2 linked regions of the Elephas maximus indicus genome follow. The protein of the gene in region 1 interacts with the protein of each later gene in a biochemical or structural test. Links are inferred from orthologs where the notes say so. Each region holds a gene or a part of one and is shown in the gene's direction. Other genes may lie near its edges.

Evidence for each region.
Region 2: the proteins of POU2F1 (region 1) and POU2AF1 are reported together in a solved structure, tested with the Homo sapiens proteins (2 studies listed by BioGRID, with this or other methods). The link is inferred for Elephas maximus indicus from reciprocal best matches to the Homo sapiens genes POU2F1 and POU2AF1.

Annotation. Positions count from the first base shown.
Region 1 is NC_064821.1:208,357,312-208,368,595, forward strand, and holds the start of POU2F1 (POU domain, class 2, transcription factor 1), read left to right. Parts: upstream 1-5,974; 5' UTR 5,975-6,955; coding exon 6,956-6,983; intron 6,984-10,372; coding exon 10,373-10,438; intron 10,439-11,284. UniProt on the Homo sapiens protein: Transcription factor that binds to the octamer motif (5'-ATTTGCAT-3') and activates the promoters of the genes for some small nuclear RNAs (snRNA) and of genes such as those for histone H2B and immunoglobulins.
Region 2 is NC_064825.1:7,619,931-7,630,535, forward strand, and holds the start of POU2AF1 (POU domain class 2-associating factor 1), read left to right. Parts: upstream 1-6,119; 5' UTR 6,120-6,239; coding exon 6,240-6,258; intron 6,259-6,287; exon of another isoform or gene 6,288-7,562; coding exon of another isoform or gene 7,563-7,578; intron 7,579-10,605. UniProt on the Homo sapiens protein: Transcriptional coactivator that specifically associates with either POU2F1/OCT1 or POU2F2/OCT2. It boosts the POU2F1/OCT1 mediated promoter activity and to a lesser extent, that of POU2F2/OCT2. It recognizes the POU domains of POU2F1/OCT1 and POU2F2/OCT2.

The DNA of each region.
Region 1 (11,284 bases):
TTTCTCCCACCGTGGATCTTGTCCTTTCATCGGCTGTACATCCTGTGTATGAACGTTTGCAGTAGGCTTGTTTGTAATGGCCCCAAACTGTAAGCAGTCAAGATGTCTCTCAGTAGGTGAATAATTAAACTGTGGTACATTTAGACGGCAGAATACCATTCAGCAGTAAAAACGAATGAACTATTGATACATGCATTTGGATGGAACTCAAGGGCATTATGCTGTGTAAACAATGCCAATTTTAGTTGGTCATATACTGTATGATTCCATTTGTATAACATTCTCAAAATGACAAAATTATAAAGATGACTAACAGATAAATGGTTGTCAGGGCTTAGAGAAGGTAGAAAGAGAGGAGCCGATATTCCCATAATGGGGGAAGTCTGTGATTAAATAGTTGTATATCTTGATTGTGCTGGTAGTTTCATAAATTTCCATAGGTGATACAGTCACATAGAATTATGCACACTTTATACCAGTGTCAGTTTCCTGGATTCGGTATTGTAGTTACGTAAGATGTTAACCAGTGAGGGAAACATGGGAGCTATCTGTACTATCTTTGCAAATTCTTGTGATTATTAAAAATAAAGAGTAAAAACAAAAAAGAGGTACATAATAATTGTTATAGGAGTTTATAGGGAGAAATAATTACTTGACAACTGGAGAAGTGAGGGAAATCTTAGACCATAGTTTCAAACCTGTCTTTATAGGATAGGAAGACTTTTCATGAACCGAGATGTAGGGAAGAAGGGTATTTTAGACAGATTGAGAGCTAGTAAGTGTTTATAGAATGCCTACCACTATATTTTTAATATCATTAAGACAGGTTAGTAATATCAGAAGACATTGTCTGAAGACCATTTTAATTAACTGAATAGAGAAATGTGTCTTCAAATTTTGTATCTCAGATAGAACTCTGGCATACTTGTTATACTATCGCATAAATTCAGGAAGCCTGAGAGTAAGAGAGAGATAAAAAGAAAGCAGACACAAATTACCAATATGAGGAATGAAACAGAATAGTTCCAAAGATGGATGGGAATAACTGGAGCTGCATGTGATTTCAAGCAGAACAAAGCCTGTTTTTCATGGATTTAAGAAAATGGAGTCAGAGAAAAAGTTACATTCCAGTTGTTAAAATAGGAGAACTCTAATATTAGCCAAGAATGTCCAGACAAATTATAGGGATGTATTAAAGCTTTGCAGTCCAGTACTTTTACTCCATGGATTTTTTTTTTGTACTTATAAAAGTAATTTTGTACTTTTTGTAAGTTTGGGATTACATATTTGGGTGATTGTTTGAGTAGTATTTCTCTCTGCTTTACATTGAAAGCTTTCTTGAGGCTCACCAATTCCTATCCTATCTCCATTTCCTATCCTGTCGCCTGGCAGCACTTAGTAAATATTTGTTAAATGAGTTAATTCATGAAAACAATAACTTAGCAAAACTCTTTACACTAGAATGAAGAAAAGGCAGTTATAAAAGTAAAGAACCAGGATGATTTAGGATAGACCTGACTGGTAAGTTAATTGTAATAAAACTTAAGTAGAGGTACACAAAATTTAAGATTTTATAACTAAGAATGTCAGGATTGGATTTTGTACTATGTTTACCTAAGGATGCTAAAATGTTAGATTGAGCAGTAGAGGAGCTATAGCAATGGATGTAAAAATATAAGACAGCACAGGTTAAAGAAGAGACCGGAAACATGTGCCATTTCATAACTGCTTTCTAGTGTGGTAGCTTTCTAAACAAATCTTCACCTAACTTATTGACTAGATGTCTTAGGCTGGGTCCTCTAGAGGAGCAAAACTAGTGAACCACATATATATAAATATACATGGAGAGATTTGTCTCAAGGAAATGTCTCACGTAGTTGTGGAGGCTGGCAAATCCCAAATCCATGGGTCAGGTGTCAAGCTGGAGGATTCTCCTGACTCGTGGTTGCAGGGGCTGACAAACTCAAAACTGGAAGGTTAGACAGCAGGCTTCTGGTTCATTCCCAAGAACCAGAGGTAAGAGGATGACAAGTTGGATGCAGGATGCTTTGCCAGAACATCCATACTTATTGGAAGCAGGCCATGCCCCCAAGGAAGCTGACTGGCTTTTAACTGAGTGGCTTTCCTCTGATTGGCCTTTCAACTGATTGGCTGCTCACATCAGATCACAGAATGGGGGATGATTACATATCTGCCAAACCACTGGGAATGATGGCCTAGACAAGCTGACACGAAACCTTAACCATCACACTAGATTAACTGACTGATGCCCCATTCCTGCTAAAAACACATTGTCTGATGCCCCCACGATATGCTTGCCCCATTCCTGCTAAAAACACATTGATGCCCCCACGCTATGCTTACTCCTTGGTACGTCTGTGCCTGTCTGCTCCTACTAGTTGAGTTGTATGATTATCAAGAGTCATTTAGTTATTTGTGTGCCCAAGCCTGTTTATAGTAGTTATACTACCTATTTTAATTACACAATTTAAATAATCATTAAGAAAAAGAGAAATGATGTTTCTGTGAAAGTTAAAATTGAATGCTTTGAAAAAAATTGATAAAGGATAATTGCTAAGAAACACCATTGAATTAAGTGTGAACTGTAAAATATTAGGTTAATTTATTAGTTAAAAGAAAATAAAAGGTGATTCTGCTCTCAGGTTGCTTCACGTGTCTTTTAAGTTCTTGGTTCACTTTTAAAAGCAGTGATTTTCAATTGGTGTGTCGTGAAATCAATTTAGTGAGTTGCTGCCAGCAATAAGAAATTAAAAAATACATATATATATGCATATACATATATGCGTATATACGTATTAGAACATATCAGAATGCATTGTACTTAGGAAGGAGCCTCATTTCATGAAGCTTTTCTTGAGTTGTTTTAATATTTATTCTCTCTTTCTATGTATATATGTATGCATAATGTAAAATATGACTTTCAGTGAAAAGTATGAAAACGTGACTAAGGAAGTTGACAATGGAAATATTAGACTGTGTATAATTTTTTGTTTTTTTGTTAAGGATACGATTTATCCAAGAAAGTAGAGGAAACTCAAATTAGTGTGTCCAAATTCAAAGTAATATCCAAGAGCTCAGATTTTGATGTCAGCAAAATCTGGTTTTAAATTCTGACTATAAATTATTAGTGTCACATTGTGTTAGTGTAATGTTCAGTTAGTATTTCAATTCTCTATGGCTCAGTTTCCTTATCTTTAAAAAAGGAGGACGAGATAGATAAAATGGGACTTCATGAAAATTTAAAACTTCTTATCAAAGAATTTTATCAACAAAGTGAAGGGACAGCCTACAGATTGGGAGAAAATTTTGGGGAACCACATATCTGATAAGGGTTTAATATCCAGAAAATATTAAGAACTCGGGCAACCTAACAAAAAAGACAACCCAGTCAAAAAACAGGCTAGGAACCTGAATAGATAGTTCAGCAAAGCGAATGTATAAGCATATGAAAAGATGTTTGCCATCATTAGTCATTAGGAAAAAGCAAATCACAACCACAGTGAACTATCACTTCACCCCTCTGAGATGGCTGCGATAAAAACAAACAAAACAACAGGTGTTGGTGAGGATGTGGAGAAACTGGAACCCTCATCCTTTGCTGATGGAAGTATAAAATGGTGTAGCCACAATACAGTTTTGTGGTTCCTCCAAAAATTAAACATGGAATTACCATTGTTGTTACTAGATCCTGTTGAGCCAATTCCAATTCATAGAAACCCTGTGTACAACAGAACGAAACGCTGCCCAGTTCTGCACCATCCTCACAATTGTTGCTATGTTTGAGCCCATTGTTGTAGCTACTGTGTTATTCCTTCTCGTTGAGGGTTTTCCTCTTTTTTCCACTGACCCTCTACTTTACCAAGCATGATTGTCCTGGAATTACCGTATCAACCAAAGTACCAAACCCATTTCCGTTGAGTCGATTCCCATTCCCATTCGTAGCGACCCTATAGGACAGAGTAGAACTGCCCCGTAGAGTTTCCAAGGAGAGGCTGGTGGATTTGAACTGTAGCCCTTTTTGTTAGCAGCTGAGCTCTTAATGACTGCACCACCAGGGCTCCTGAATTAGCTACCATATGATCCAGCAATTCCACTCCTAGGTATATATCCAAAAGAATTGAAAGCAGGAATGCAAACAGGCAGTTTTACATCGTTGTTCATTGCAGCTATTCACAATAGCGAAAAGATGGAAGCAACCTAGATGTCCATCAGCAGATGCATGAATAAACAAAAGGTGGTACGTACATAAAATGGATTAGTATGGGGCGGTTCTAAACTGACTGGATGGCATCTATCAACAGCAACAACACTAGGGTTTCCAAGGCTGTAAATCTTTACGGAACCAGACTGCTACATCTTTCTTCCATAGAACTGCTGGTGGATTCAAACTGCCAGTGCTTTGGTTAGCAGCCGAGCACTTAACCACTGCACCAGCAGAGCTCCTTTTAATGGATTAGTACTCAACCATAAAGAGAAAGAAATAAAGTCTTGATACAAAATGTAACTAGACTTGCCCAGGTCTGCTTGGCGACCCTATAAAGACACAAAGCGAATGAAAGTGAAAGAAGAAGCTTTATTTAGTTGGCCAAGTAAAGGAGCACACCAGGACTTGTGTTGTCAAGATGGCTCCTCAGACAATAGCTCAAGGGGTTTATATGGGTAAAGTAAATTGGGTCTGGAGTCTTCAGAAACCCCTCAAGGTGGAGTCAGCTTGCCGATTGGTTTGGCCCGAAAAGGCGTTTCTGGGGAAGTCTGGTCTTCTGCAGCTGCTCAGTCTGAAGGGGGGGGGGGGGCACAAAGATGGCGTTTTGTCCACATCTGGGACATAGAAAGGGTGTTTTTTCAGCCTCTGACATCAGTAGGTTGTCCAAAGGTCATGCTCTTATGTACTGCCTATGTCAGGTGGGCCAAACCTGGTTCTTGCCAGTCTCAACTGGTCTTGAGACCCCGGCCTCTTGTTTTTCTTAACTGAGTCTGAACTGGCAGCATATCTAAATAAGGAGATAGCTTAAAGATGGGAATTCAGTTACCTAATAAGGAGATGGCTTAATCACAGGGAGCTAGTCCCTATATCACAGAAGGTGGTAGGCACAACCCCTTTTCTATTCAAGATGGCAGGTGGGCTGCTGATCTTGATACTACAACATGGATGAACCTTGAGAATATTATACTGGGTGAAATCGACAAAGATTGTATGGTCCCACTTATATGAAATATCTAGAATCAGCAAATGTTGAGAGACCGAAGCTTATTAGTGGTTATCAAGGGTGGGAGGGAGGGGGAAAGAGAGTCATTGCTTAGAGGGCACTGAGCCTCTGTTAAGGTGATGGTTGCTCAACATGATGAACAGAATGTCTCTGAATTGTACATGTAAAAAACGTTGAAATGGCTGATGCTTTGTTTATATACATATTTATCACCAATAAAAATAAGGGAGAGAGTGAAAATGCCTACTTTGTAGGGTGTTTGTTAAGCCTTCTCTTGAATTGTCTATGATGCTTAGGATGTAACGTTTTCATATTGTAATGCCTGAAAAGTTTTGGGTTGATGTTTTACCTTGTAAATCCGCTTTAATTTGAATACTGTTTAGTAAGGGTTAGATACACACACACACACACACACATAGACACATAGGGTCATTATGAGTTGGATTCGACTCGATGGCAACGAGTTTCGCTTGGCACACTGGTTAGGAACATGGCTGCTAACCAAAAGGTCAGCAGTTGGAATCCAGTAGCTGCTCCTTGGAAAGGTGTGTGTGTGTGTGTGTGTGTGTGTACACATACTAAGTAATTACACAATTTACAGGACTCATTTTTTGACTCTGCATATTGTAGGTAACAGACTGTCTTCTACTTGAGATTGATTTTGTGGGAGGTGGGGGGGGGTACTACATAATATGTAGCATTCAACTAATCTGTCCTGTTCATTTAGTATTTTAAAAATATTTGTAGATAATTTTCATACTCTGAAGGCACCTTTAGGTCCTGTGCTGCTTCCGGATTTATTCTGATGCCTTGTTTAAAGCAGGACTTTCTCCTGACAGTTTGTGTTAACATTTGGAAAATTTCCTATCAGAAGACTTGCACCATCTTGACAGCCCTGTGTTCTGCTTCTACCTTGCTAATTGTTTCCTTGGGATTACTTGGATTGTGTAGAAAGCTTTTTGCAAATCCTCTTATTACTGAAGTCATTGTTGCTGGCAGGAATAAGATTAAAGGTGCTTAAGTCTGTAGAGTTGTTTCTAATTTGTACGTGTCATTTCAGGGGCATTTTAACAGAACTCTGTCTCCTGTCCCTCCCTTCTGCCCCAGCACTAGCTCAAGTTAGGTCCGAGAAGCCAGGCCATTGGAAGAAATCTTATTTTATCCTCCTAATTATTATGCTGGCACTCAGGAGATAATTTTTCCCTTCATGCACTGCCAATTAATATGCAGATAAGCTGATAAATATTTATGTAACGATTTAAATTATGCAGGGAGTGCTTTCAGTGTATTCTGTAAATGAATTGTTCCTGGACTTCAAAGTACTGGCTGCTGTGCTAACTAGGAGAGATTTGCATAAGGCCCTAATCACGCGCATACTGATTAAGCTTCATTATGGAAACTGCCAGCTGCAATCTTTGTTTCTATTTTATTACAAAAAGGGGAACTTTTCATGCTTCAGTTGCCTTGACAATGTCAGTCCAAGCTGGTAGGAGAGGCTAAAACTCCTCTGAGCAACTGAAGTTTCCTTATTCAGTTGAAGATTGCTATGGTGTAACTGAAGTTGTATTTTGCTTCCCCCCTCCATCCACTTCCCACCCCCCACCTTGTTCTGTTAAGAACATAGCGTAGGTTTGTGAGAAATAGTAGTACCTTCTTTCTCCCTCCCCAAACCGCTACCTGTTCTTCCTTGCTTTGGACGGTTTGGACCTCTAGAAGATTTCACAGCAATGCTGGACTGCAGTGACTATGTTCTAGGTGGGTACCAGCACACTTCTTTCTTATGAGCTTTAATATGGAAATAGCCTGTGTGGGGTTGACTATGCATAAATGCTTAATCGCATATGCAACCTGGTCCGGAGGGGGCGGGGTGGCCAGTGGAGCAGGGAAGGTGGAAGGCATTTGCAGAGCACAAGCATGCTTGAGTTTGCTCTCAGTCCCTCCCTGTGACTAGCTTCTGGTTCAGCGGATATTCGCAGTAAATACTGTGGATTTAGAAGTTAGCTTGAAAGGGTGACATTTTTGCTTTTTGGAAATTTCTGTCGAGAGCATGTAGTTCTAAAAACACTCTAAATATGAAACCAAGCTATAAACTGTACCTAATAATATATACATATTAATTAAAATGTTTTGCATACTTAATACAAATGTCCCATACAAAATCTAAAATGGCTTAGTGAGAAATAAGGTGGAGCCTTAGTACAGAATTGTTCCCATAAATACTGATGTAGAGGGTAATTGCAGTGGTTACCATAATAGGACTATTGATCAATTTCCAGGTTTTAGAAACTATTAATTGTTTTAACATTATGCCTAATATTACCCATCTTTTTTTTTGATCTTTTGAAGTCAACTATGTCCTTCAGAAAACTATAATTTTAAGTATTGGAAATCCTAGTTTTACAATTTTCACTATAGAACAACAAACCTTTTGGGGAAGATGATGTCCAGTTTGAATATTTGAACCATCTTTGGTGATTCAGATTTAACATAGATTGAGACACTATGGTGGCTCCTGGTGGCCATGTTTTGTGTTGGTTTTTGCCTGTTTAGATGTACGATTATTAGAACCCTTATGTGGTTACTTTGGTCACCTGGATAGTTCAAGGATGTGATCTCCAGGACAGGGGTATCTTACCGTTAAAACCTTTACAAATTACTTTTTTTCCTGGATGTCATCTTCTCCACATGAAAATTGCGGCTGCCCCAGTTTCCTGCATTGTTGCCAGAGATAAAATGTTAGTTCTGAAAATGTTTGAAGTCTTAGACAGAAGGCTTGGCCCAAACCCAGGGTCTGTAGTATTTGTACAGAAAAAAGAAAATGAATGAATGGCAAAAACAACAAATTGATGCCAAGAATTCAACCCAAGACCACCTTGTATACTGGGTATTAGACTTATTAGATACAGTCATCTCAGTGTCAGATACAGATAATTTTGGTATTGCCCAGAGAGAAAAATCTTCAAGTATCAAAAAAGAGCTTGTCTCTATCTACTAAGATAGAAACTCAAGAAAGGAAAGAAAAGGAAGATACTTTTCTGAAATATTTTTAGCAATATATTTTAAAATAAAAAATTGTGTCTGTATTCCTTTTAAGTAACAGTAAATATCATTTAAACAATCTTTTCGTCATTGTTCTGTTATTAGTTAGTTAATCAGAATTTTATTGTTTCATTTATTTTTTGGTGAAGTAATTTTAATAAATGCCTTTGAAACTCTTTGACAGTTCAGTAGAAGAACCTTAGAAGATCCACAAGGTCTGTGACATAATCTTTAATTTATAGACGTGGAAATTAGGATAGGAATTGTACAAGGTCAGGCTCATGACTTTTTAAGACTTACCTCTCTTTTGTTTTTATGGTATCCACATATGTGGGAAAATTGTTACCCATTTTATAAATGTTAACTGACTCATCTTTTTTTTTTTTTTTTAATTTTTAAATTCTAAGGGAAACACTGAGCAGGGTGTATGCTTAATGGTATATTCTACTGCATTTCTTAGGATTTTTGACTTTCATAAAATTCTTGTTAAGTCATTCAGAAAGCTGATTTTCACTAAGTCTGTCCACCTGTTCCTTTCAAACCTTAGTGTACTTTCAGATGCTATTTAAGTTTTTCTGGACAGCTTCTCTGTTATAATAACTAAACAGTGCCTTCATTCGGGGGCGGGGGGAGGAAGCTATAGAACTGCTTTTGCCCTCATTTAAGGCCATAAACACACATATTTGAACCCTCTGAACATCTGAGGAAAACCAGAGTCACAGTAGAACTGCCCAAGCTCATGAGATAAACATCTGTTACAAAAACTAGTATCTTATAAAAACTACCCTACAGCTTCTAGGCTAGAGATGGAATTCATGGGGGAAGGACTCCTGATTCTTTTTCGTCACTTAGGCGTGTGGTTAAGGCAGCCGTGGACAACTTCCTTGAGACTTCTGTGTAACAGTTGTTTTGATTTCCTAGTTAAGTATTTAAACAGATGACAAAATGTGCTCCAAGTTCAAAAAGCAAATACAGCGTATTTAAGTATTTGTTCTCTGTTAATAACTGTAGTTAAATGGTTCTTAGCCTGGTGGGAGAAAAGGCAGAACTTGTTTGATAATAAACTTGTTTGATTATTTATAATGTTAAGTTTCAGTTTGCAGATGTGAAGTAGGATATTTATATAATGTGTATTCAGCTTTTGGCCCTTTGAAAGAGGGAGAGGCGCGGATGTGTCCTTGCCTCGCCTCTTGTGTTGTATACATCTTCCGGAATACCTGCTATTGCTTATTACTGTGGAAACCTTCATTAAATAGATAACCCTACAAGAAGGAAACCCGTATCGAGCAGGCTCATTTGGGGTACTAGGCTAGTTTAAGTTTTAAGTAGCTGTGGTTGTAATTCAGATTTGAAATTACTAGATGGATTATTTGATGGATATTAGATGGATTAGATTATTAGATGGATTAGATGTTTTTATGCCTTATGGTACAACTTCTTGTACTGGTTTAAGATTAAGGTGTGAATTTGATATACTCTGATTTTGACACTTGTTTCATGTGGTTTGTGGGGGACGAGTCACTATGGAGGTATTTTTCTTAAATTTTTTTTTTTAGATTGAGTTACTACTGTCCCATCTGTTTTCAGAGTTACCAGTGAATTATTTCCGATAACAATTAATGAATATCTTTGCTTATGAAAAAGAAAAACCCTTTATTTTGGAATTTTTTTTTTTTTTTTTAGTTTTCAAAGTGCTTCCCCCCCCAACTTTGTTTCTTTAACATATTTTAAAGTTTATATTATAAAGCATTTATATATTATAGATTATGCTTTATGTAATAAAGTATATATATATATTTCATACTTTAATATTTTTTTTTCAAGTTAGATATATGTTATCTTTCTTAGAAGACTCTTAAGATCTTTCAGTAAGGTGATTTATTTCTGGGTCACTTTAAGGTCCAGGGAATCCTGAATTTCTTTCAGATAACCTTTTTGTCATAATTCCCTACGTTTTACCTTTGACACATATGCGCTGTGTTATCCTTGAATTGTATGATTATTACATTAGTCATTATTATTAACCCTTTCCCCTATCACAATTTGGCATCCACAACCCCATCCCCAATATTTTTAAAACCTAATTCACCTCTGATTTATTGTAGATTCAAAAATGAACAATCCGTCAGAAGGCAGTAAACCGTCTCTGGAGAGTGGAGATAGCAACACAGGTAAGAGATTGTCCCAGATTCAGCCTTTTCATTAGGTCTAATAGAGCTAAAAGAAAAGACTATGACTTAGATTTGGCAAATAAAGGCCAATTTGATTATTGAATTGTCACATATTATAATTTAGTACTTGCAGAAATTGGGAGTCTGTTTTCTTAAGATTATCTAACTTGCTCTGGCAGATTGCTTCATCCTTTTGTTTCCACCTATCAGAGAAACTATAGTATAATTAAGAGATTAAGTAATTAAGAGACCTGCAAGTCAGAGAGTTCTGGGTACAGATTTGTCGCTTACCTGCTAAGTGACTTCAGGTAATTCCAAAATCTTTCTGAGACCTAATTTCTCTATCTGTAAATTGGGGATAATATATCTCATAGAGCATTGTGAGTAGCAACGGAGACAGTATATGAAGTATTAAAATAGCACAGTGTCAGCTACACAGTGACCGTTCCATAAAAACTTGCTGTTGTTAGAGGTTTAATCAAAACAGTAAATATTATCCACCCTACAATGAATATGAATTAAAGTTATGGTAGTGTCAATAAGTACTGAAACACACACACACATTTCTAATACATCCTTTTATTGAGTAGAGCTTTTTTTTTTTTTTTTAATTTATACATGGTTAAACCCTTTATTAAAAGAAAAGTATTATATAAATGAGAAAACAGGCCCCATAAGAGAAAGGTGAGTCCATAAAGGGTGAATTGTCTCCACAGCCTGTACTCTTAATTTCGTACATTGTTCAGAGGACGTTTGACTATGCGTCTTTATCATCTGCTGGAGATGGTAGCCAAATTTGGTAAATATATAAATTAAAAATTAAATCACGTAAAAATGGAATTATGT
Region 2 (10,605 bases), on another chromosome or scaffold:
CAGCCTTATTTGCAGAGTAGCTGAGAATCTGGGACAGTTAGATGTGGTTGGAATCCTGCCATTTCTTTGGGATGGGAAGTCCAAAAACAAACAAAGACCCAGAAAAACAAACAAACCTGTTGCTGTTGAGTCCTACTCATAGTTGACATTATAGGACAGAGTACAACTGCCCCACATGCCACAGGTTTCCAAGGCTGTAATCTTTACAGAAGCAGGCTGCCACATCTTCATCCTACAGAGAGGCTGGTGGGTTCGAATCCCCACCCTTTCCATTAGCAGCCAAGTGCTTAACCACCACACCACCAGGGCTCCTGAGAAGTAATCGGCAAAGCTTGAAGTGTTTCCTAATATGCGTGATTTTTGAGAACAAAAACATGAACGGTAATTCAGTTATGTAGTCTCAGGGTCTGAAATTAGTGTATGTAGAACACCATGCAGTAGGCTATTACATTTAACCAGTGCGACAATTATTACAATTTCAATTTGAAAGATAAGGAAACTAAAACTAGAAGAGATTAAATAATTTACCCAAGGCCACACTGCTAGCAGTGTAGCCAGATTCCAAACCAGGTTCTCTGGCTCTATATTAAATAATCACTTCACTGTTCTCTGCTGCCTCTCCCAGAGGCAAATTCTATGCAACAATGAAATGCTCATTTGCAGGAGAAATGAGAAATGGGCCTTGTTGACTCAGTTTGTACAGAAAACATGGGAGACTGCCTGCAGCCAGCAGTGGAGTTCGATATTTTGCCTGTGCATTACCCATTTCACCTGGGGGACCATGATTGTTCTAGCTGGACTTGGGCAGTTTATATCTCATATATTTAAAAATTTGATAGCATAGAGTTTCCCTAAAATAAGCAGTAATTCTTAATCTTGCGAATCAAGGAAAAATATGTATGCACACAAGATTCATGGACCCCATTAAGATCACCCAGGTCTTCCCTCTCCTTCTGGGTTGTTATGGATATATTTTGTCTTTTTCTTCCATCTTTAAGAAAATTCCTGTAATAAAGTTCACCCAGGTATTTGATCAGTTTTTGTTCCCATATTTCTTGTTGCATCCTTTTGGGCTGCTCTTTTATTTGAATGCCTCCTCCAAGAGCAATTTTAATGTGAGGCTTGTATGTTTGAGGGTATTGTTGTGAAGCAACAATATTGTAATGACAGCTTGGCTGGATTTAAAATTAGAGGTTCAACATGCTTTTCCTTCAATACTTTAAAAACATTTCTTCATTGTCTTCTTGCACCCAGTATTGCAATAAGAAAAGTGTAATGTCAATATGATTCTTGTTCTTCAGTTAACATGCTCTTGCTCTCAGAAAACGTTTAGAATTTTCTCTTTGTCTTCTTTTTAAATTTCACTGTAATGGGTCCAGATGTTAGTTTTTTCTTTTCTCTCTTGTTTCACTATCCACAAGCCATTTAATCTGAGATCTTATATCATTTTTTTTTAATTCCAGGAATTTTTCTTCAGTGTATCTTCAAGACAAAGACATGACAAAAATAGCCATTATCATCATTGCTGTTTAATATTGTATGGGTCAACATTATAAAGAAAGGAAAAAAAATGAGAGCTGTAAAGATTGGAAGGGAAAAGATAGAACTGCCATTATCTTCAGAAGAGATGATCGTCTACGTAGAAAGACCATCATAATCAACACACTGTTAGAACTAATAAGAGAGTTTAACAAAGGTGCTAGGATATACTCACAAATATTACTAGAATTATTCTATAGCCTAGATAACCAACTAGAACATATAATAAAAATTAAGGTATCATTCACAATGGCAATGGAAAACTATATAGTGACTAAAAAGTACCTTATCCAAAACTGCACTAGACTTTCATAGAGAAAATTTAAAAACTCTAATAATAAAGAGGAGCCCTGGTGGCGCAGTGGTTAAGTGGTTGGCTGCTGACCAAAAGGTTGGCAGTTCCAATCTACCAGCTGCTCCTTGAAAACCCTGTGGGGCAGTTCTACTCTGTCCTACAGGGTCACTATGAGTTGGAATCAGCTCGACAGCAATGTGTTTGGTTTTTTTTGGTTAATAATAAAGAACATAGAATGTGATCTGAATAGATGGAGAGCTATTCCATGCTTACCACTATGGTACCAGCTGCCATTAAGTTGATTCCAACTCATGGCAGCCCCATGTGTGCCACAGTAGAACTGTGCTCCATACGGTTTACAATGGCTTATTTTTTCAGAAGTAGATTGCCTGGCCTTTCTTCTGAGGTGCCTCTTGGTGATTTTGAACTTCCAAGCTTTTGGTTAGTGGCTGGGCATGTTAACTGTTTGTACTACCCAGGGACTCATTCTATGCTTAAAAAAAAAAAAAAATTTTTTTTTTTTTAGCTGGGCTAAATTAATGTTATCAAGATATCAGCTCTTCCAGAGCAAAAATCAATAAATTCGATGAAATCCCAATAAAAATTCCAATTGTGTTTTTTTTAGGAACTTGATGAACTTATTCTAAAATTTTAAGATTTACAATAAGTAATAATGGAAACTGTAAGGTGTTAGTACAAGGACATACAATGAGACCAATGAAATAAAATGGTGTTCAAAGACAGGTCCTTGTATATATGTGAATATAGCATAGATAAAGGCAACCTCATAAGTCAGTGAGGGAAAAGAAGTCTTGTTGAGGTGATGGTGTGGAGAAAATTAGCCCACTATATGGGGAAAAATAAAACTTGATCCCTAGACTCCATCAGTGAGCAACTACACATGGAGTACCAATGTGAAAGATAAAACTCTAAAGTTAATAGAATAAAATGCAGGAAACCATCTTTATTATCTTGGGATGAAGAAAGAATTTTTCAACAAAATCCCCAAAATGCAAGCATCAAAATTAAGTATTTCTAAGAAGAAAACCCTGGTGGCGTAGTGTTTAAGTGCTACGGCTGCTAACCAAGAGGTCAGCAGTTTGGACCCACCAGGTGCTCCTTGGAAACTCTATGGGGCAGTTCTACTCTGTCCTGCAGGGTCACTATGAGTTGGAATCGACTCAACGGCAGTGGGTGTGGGTTTTGTCCCACACAAGGACATTATGAATAAACTTTGAACAGATGACAGATTAGGAAAGGATATTTGGAATGAGTGCAACTGACAATACCTAGAACTATGCATCTAGAATATGCAAAAAGCTCCTGCTAATCAACAAGAAAAAAAGAGCAAGTCCAATAAAGAAATTGGCAAAGGATATGAACAAGCCTTTTACAGAAGAGGAAATCCAGAAGGTTAACAAGCATATGAAGAGATACTTAAGTTTATTAGTATTAGTGATGTCAAATAAAACCACAACAAACTATCACTTTCCATCCATAAGGCTGGTGAAAGAAAAGTGGATAATGCCAAGTTTGGTGGAGAAGTATAAATATGTGAAGCCTCATGAACTGATAGTGGGAATTCTGGGGAGCAATTTGACAGTAGTTAGTTGAATTAAATATTATTATTTAAAATTTAAATATTATAGACAAATAATACTTACAATTTAAGTAATGTTAAGTAATAAGCTTCTGTTGATCTGCTCCAGGTTCTAACGGCAATGATCCTATGGTACTACGAATAAATATGGCTCGTACTTAACATTATTAAATTTATTACTAATCATATTCTTTGACCTGGGTATATAACCCCAAGGACATTTTCACGTGTCTCTGGAAAAGGATGCATATCAGAATGTTCATTGTTGTTTTATGAAAAGGGGGTAAATTGGAGACAATCTAGATAAGTAAAATGTAGGGTTTGCATACTGTGGAATACTTTGCAGCCATTATAAATAACAGATTGAATGTATACATAGCAATGTGGATGGATTTTAAGCATAGTTAAATTTAAAAAGAAATAAGTAATAGTACAAGCCGTATAATACAACACCAATTACATGAATTAGAAATACATGCATGCCTTCGTGGCACACTGATTAAGAGCTCAGGCAGTTCGAATCTACTGACTGCTCCTTGGAAACCCTATGGCACAGTTCTAGTCTGTCCTATGGGGCCACTATAAGTCGGAATCAACTTGATGGCAACAGGTTTAGAGGCATGCAAAATAATACATATTTTTATAAATGTCTACAAACAGAAAGGTCAACATCAACCAGGTGAAAATAGTTGCCTCGACTGGGATGGTGGATGTGTGATGGGGGTGAGGGGGTATAGGAGAAAGAATAGATATGTAAAACGAGAAGGAAAGTGAATGAGTGAATAAGTGAATAACTGAATGAAGGAATGAATAAAGGAATAAATAAATAAATGAGCAGTCTTTCATAAACCAATGGTGTTAAAATGTCATGGACCGAAGGGGAAGATTAAAGTCCTAATGAAAAGCAAAACTAAAGCCTGGCAGAAGCAATGAAACATAGTAAGCACTCAATAAATATTTGTTGGATGGAGGAAGCAGTGAAGTCTGTGGCGAAGCTTTTTGGCAATTTGAGTCCTTTTGCAGTATGAATCAGTGCTTTTTAATTAATTGTTTTAGGAGTTTTGATTTTGGTTTATCAGATTTTTAAAAAGTGGGAGCACACCTGTATTTGGAGACATTTGGATGGTGTTGACAGACTTTCTTTTCCTGCACGTCTTGACGTATTGCATGAACATGACCACCGTGTCTCTTTTGAACTCTACATGTAGTTTGACTTCTGATTCTGAGTCACAGAAGATGTCTGCCAGGCAAAATCTCTGCCATTTTGATTGAGTCATGATTCCACAATACCTGCCTATATGTGGTCAAAGATATCCAGGGTCTTTGCTGGAAGCACTGGCTTCCTGAACTGGCTTATATCTGGCAGGGTTTATACCTGGCTATAATGGTGGGCTTGTCTACCAAATTTGTTTTTTCTCTGTTACCGTTAAAGGTTTGATTTGTCAGAACACCTCTGGGTTTCTCTCCTTCCTCCTATCTTTCCAGAGGACAGGGGTTTATCCCAGGGGTAACAAGGGAACTAAGAAAAGAGGGACTAATTTTCTCTGGGCTAGGAGTTTTGGTGGACCAGAAATTTTTTCACCAAAAAGGTGCGATTTGAGTTGGATCTTAAAAAAGAAAGAGGTGATATTTAGATGGGGAAGTGGGGGAAGTTTCTATTGATCTGATCTAGGTTATAATAGCAATGATCCTATAGTACTACTAATAAATATGGCTGACACTTGGCTTTCACCTTAATGAATGTCTATTAGTATAATTATTTAGAGCTCAGGCTTTGGTCATAAGACCTTAAGTCTAAAACCCAGCCTATCACCTCTTAGCCCTGTGACATTGGGCAAGTTAAACTTCCTAAATGAATATTTGTTTCTCTGGAAAATACAAACAGAAGTTCCCTCACAGAGTTGTTGCTGCGACTAAATTAAATAATGTCTAGAAAGGCTTAACATGGGGCTTGGTGCAGAGTAAGTAAAAAAAAAAAATAATTTTTTTTTAGTTATTATTATTTCAGGAAATCATTATGCTAGGCTTATGGGGAGAGACAAAGATGGGTAAGAAGAAGTTCTTAATTTCATGGAACTTGGAAAGAATAAGACATAACTATGATGCGGAACAGCATAAGAAAGGTTAGGGAGGTTATATACGCTCCTCAGAACCCTGTCAGACATTCAGAGAACTGCTTCTTCATTTTATAAACAAGGAAACTGAGACTCAGATGGGTCACATGACTTGTTTAAGGGGTTGTAGCCAGTAAGTGGCAAAGCCTTGCTAGAAACCCACGTCTCCCGCGACTGAGCCAGGCCTAGTGGATGTGCCACTGTTTCCAGTGGGAACTTCTCAGCGCGGCCCAAGGTCTTCTGTGTGACACTACTCCCTGCAAGGCTGTGGCGCTGCCAGCCGCCACCTACAGAACTGGGCCCTCCACATCCCAGGGTTCAGAGGCCTTGGGATGAGGGCTCATAGTTCAGCTTATAGATAGCATTCTCAGCCTTTTGAGCGAGTTGTTTATGCGGACAACATTTCTCCTCAGGGTCTGCCCTCGAACCAACAACCCATTAGAGATGAAAATTCATTACTTCATTAAGTGAGATTTTTTTGAAGGCCGGTTAGTTAAGAGTGAGGCACTGTGAAACAAAGTTGAAACCGCCTTGAGGAACACACAGTCATGTGACAGCTTACCTAAAAATAATGAACAGACAAATGCTCTGGGAGTCGAGAAAAGACAGACTAGTTTTCTCTGAGCTACAAGATTTGGTGGATCAGGAATTTTTTCACCAAAAAGGGGGCATTTGAGCTGGATCTGGAAAAATGAAGAGAAGATGTTCAGGTGAGGAGGTGTGGAAGAGGAATCCAGCAAGAGAAGACAGCAAGATCAAAGGCAGGGAAGTGCATGGATGTTGGGGGATGCTTGGACATTGGGGATGAGTGGGAGATGAGTCTGGGAAGGTAGGCAAGGGCTAGACCATGAAGGACTTATGTGTCTCCAGCTCTGTGGCTGAAGGGGAGAAATTAAAGGCTTTTTCAGTAGGGAATGGAGCGAGCAGACCTAGTTGTACAAGATCGCTCTGAGGCAGTTTGGAGGGCCAAGCAGTAAGGCCTCAGACCTGCCTTACGTGGTCTTGACCCCAAACTGATTGTGTCACCCCGGTCCATACATGTAGACTTTGGATACACAGTGACAAAAGATTTTTACCTGGGAAGGAGTCTTGTGGCCTAACACCCCATATGCTACCAGGTGGTGGACATACTACTTTTCTTTTGAGAAGTTTCAAGTTAATCGGGGTGGGCACTCCTCATACCCCCTCTGAGTAAACAGCTCCGGTTAAAAAGCACTGAGGGAGTTGGGCTCTTTCTCTGGTGTATCAACCATCAGAATCAGTGTTCCCCATATTTAAGCGTGATCAAGGCTGGCCGTTTTAGTGGTGGCTGGTAGTAAGGGGAAGGCTATTGTGTTTCAAAATGAAATAAACAGAAAAGCAATATTAAAAGAGTGAGGAGGTTGTTTACTGAGGCTTGAAGAGACTACAGGTGCTTCCTTCTGTGTTCAGAAGCAGTGACCCCTGGGAATTGCATTTCCCGTTGAGCAGGAGCCCATGGTGGGCTGAGCCCTGCTAATACCCTGGTGGTATGAAACCCTGAACAAGCACCACAGAAAACCCAGTGGTTTCCAGGGGGTCTTTTGAGCTTGTCTTGGTGTGAGCAGGTACAAGATGGGACACACATACTCACACAGTTTACCCTCATGCACACTGCCACATACATACACACGCACACAAGTATCACACCACGCTCTGTGGCCACATCCAAATGGCCACAGGCTTCTATGCCATGTCGTTGTTCAGACCCAGATGGCCGGCTCCGAATATGAAGTGGTCTGTAGCCAGCAGGCTCTGAGGGCGCTCACAGTGGGGTGACGGGCAGTGTCGCTGAAGAGCAAGAGCACCCGTGCCTGCGGTGGGAGGATGTGATGACGCTGTGCCCCCACACAGCGGGAACTTGGGCTTTTAAAAAGCCGAGGAAACATCCTCTGAGCAAGCAGTGGCTACACTGGAGGAAAGCACACCCAGGTCTCACATTAAAGAAGCCAAGCTGTCTGCTTCAAAGAGAAAAGGCAACATCCTGTCACAGACCATGCTCTGGCAAAAACGTAAGTGGTGTGGCCGTGGCTGCTCAGAGCCAAGTGATCATGGGTGAGGGCAGGGAGTTTATCTGTCGGCTTGTAATCCAAGAGATGGTGGTGGCGACGGGGGCAATGAGGGTTGTGGGTTCCAATGCAAAGGGGCAGGAAAGGTGAGGCGGGTGAGAGGGAGCCTGTGGAGAAACCAACCTGTCAGGGGTGATGCTTATTTTCCAGGCTGGGGGTGGGGAACGAACTAGTGTTCCAAGGTGGGACAGCTCATTGCATCTCTGCTTGTGTGTGAATCACTGTGGTGAAGAAAGGGCAGTGTATGATTCACAAAACAAAAGCCAACTGTGATATTGGGTTGGGGCTGGGAGGGGAAAGCCATTCAGCTCTTTACACAAGTGGCTTTATTTTTCTTAAGTAGCTACACTGCAGCCTGTTGTTTCATTCTGTGGGCCTGTTTCCAGTGGAGTTACTTAGCTTTTCTGACAAATGCATGAGATGTTTCTGTGACTACGTGGAGACAAAGTGGAAACTTGGTTTTGTGAAGCACATCTTCACTTGTTTCACCATCTTGTCTCTTGTCCTGCTTGTTCCCATTCTATGGCAAGGGTTGTTTGTCCCAGTGCAATGGGACAGTGAGTTTATCTATGACCTTGATTCTTATCCCTGGAGTTGGATGGGACAACTGTGAACTTTATTTTCCATTATGTGGGACCAAACAGAGATTTATCAAGACCTGTGTTATTAAGAATTGAAACCATGCAGAGAATATCTATAACATTGCTTTCCTGTGATTACAGTCAATTCAATGGCCTCATGAGAGTGAATCTTAGTAGGGCTCAGTTCTGTACTTCCTCAGTAGAGAAATAATACCAAAACTTTGCATTACCTTCCTTTTAAATGTACTTAGTTCTTTAAAATTCCTTTTAATTCATGCACACCCTACCTCAAGCAAATGTAATATAAGAGAATTAGATAAATTAAAAAGTGTTTATTTAGCTTTTTTAAAAAAGATGTTCCATTGGATTTCTTTAAGTTCTGCAAAGATAACTTCATTGATTAAAGCGTGATTATAGTCACTTTATCATCAAGTCATTGTTTCCTTTATTTCTTGTGTAAATTCTCTGAAATTGAGCTTGTGTAATATGGAGGTGTGATTTCAAAATTTCTCAGATTGTGGAGTCTCATCAGTATTGGATATTGGCAAGATGCAATTTAAAAAAATAAAAAGAAATTAACTTTAATTTGATTAATTATGAAATCCTTGCAGGTAATTAGAAATATTGTTGTTTATATGTGGTGTTACACACAGAAAGAAGGATGGGGCAAGACCCTACCTAATCTGCCAAGGGTACTGGCACCAACCCAGGGTTGTGCTATGTGGAGGAGGGCCAGACCAGCTGCTGTAGAATTGACCCTGGCTCACAGCAACACCATGTGCATCAGAGTAGAAGTGTGCTCCACAGGGTTTTCAATGGCTGATTTTTTGAAAGTAGATTGCCAAGCCTTTCTTCTGAGGCACCTTGGGGTAAATCCTATCCTCCTGCCTTTCAGTTAGCAGTCAAGTGCATTAACTCTTTGTACCACCCGGGGACTCCAGTGGAGCAGGGCGGGCAGCATTCATGTCTTTGGTTTCCTGGAGCAGTCGAGCATCCCTGTGTGCTTAGACTTAGCGCTGGATCGTTTGGGTTTTCTGTGAACACTTGGAGGGAGTCCTGCTTAAGCTAAGGAGCTGAGCAACCTTAGCAAGCACTTGCCCTTCTTTAAATTCTTCTTGTTGTTGTTAGTTGCCGTCAAGTCAATTCTGATTCACAGAGACCCCATGTGTGCAGAATAGAAAGGCTCCATAGCGTTTCAAGGCTGTGATCTTTCAGAAGCAGATTGCCCGGCCTGTCTCCTGTGGCACTGCTGGGTGGGTTCAAACTGCCAACCTTTTGGCTAGTAGTCACCCAGGGCCACATTTTGAATTCTTAGTTTTTTTATATGTAAAATAGGAGTAAAGTAATACTTATTCTGTACAATTACCTTTAGTAGGCTAAAGTGCCATAGAAATGGTGTTGAGTGTTCTGGTTCTGATTTCAGTACATGTGAGATTTGGGCTGCTTCCCTGTGTTCCTAAACTGCCATATTCTATTAGTGGTCCACTATACTTTTTTCCTTTAACTCCTAAGAGATTAACAGAGTTTTTTTTTTAAGTTAACTTTATGAAAGTATAATTTATGTATAATAAAGCATTTCTTTTAAGTATATGGTTTGATAGGCTTTGACAAATACAAACATCCCTGTAGCCACCATCACAGTCAAGATATAAAACATTTCTATCACACCAAAAAGTTCCATTGTGGCCTTTCCCAATAACCCCAATCCCCACACCTGGCCCCAGTTAACCACTAACTACTTTTTGTCACTGTATATTGTTTTTTTCTGTTCTGGAGTTTCTTCGATCTTTTTTTTTTTTTTTTAATTTATTGTGGTAAATGTATACTTAACAAAATATTTGACATTTCAACAATCTTCACATGTATGTTTCAGTGACATTAATTATATTCATCATGTCATTCAACCATCACCCTTTACCTGTTCCTAAATTAGACCATCACCCCTAACAGAAGCTCAGTGTCCCCTAAAGGGAGATGCTTCCTGCTTACACCAGGAGGGCAGTCAGATACAGCCAAACTCCCTCAACCAGAGAGACCACAATTGTAAGCTCATCAACGGAACAACTGGGGTCAACATTTCTACACTTTCAGATGAACACAAATCAGATTTCTCTATAATTGTCTTTTGGAGTCTAAAAGGAGATTAGGAAAAGCCCTGAGGCACGGGACCCATTCCCCTTACCTTGGACACAAGTATGTCACCGAGGGCACCTGAGTGACTAAACCCTGTGGGAAAACCAGTTAGAACAGGGCAGCATCGTCAGCCTACTTAGAATCACCCGATGTAAGGGCAGGGTTTGAAATTAGACACCAAGAGTGCTGAAAAAGCACTTTCTTTTTTCAGAAAACACCCTCGAGGCATGAGCAGAAATGACTGTACTCTGGGGTT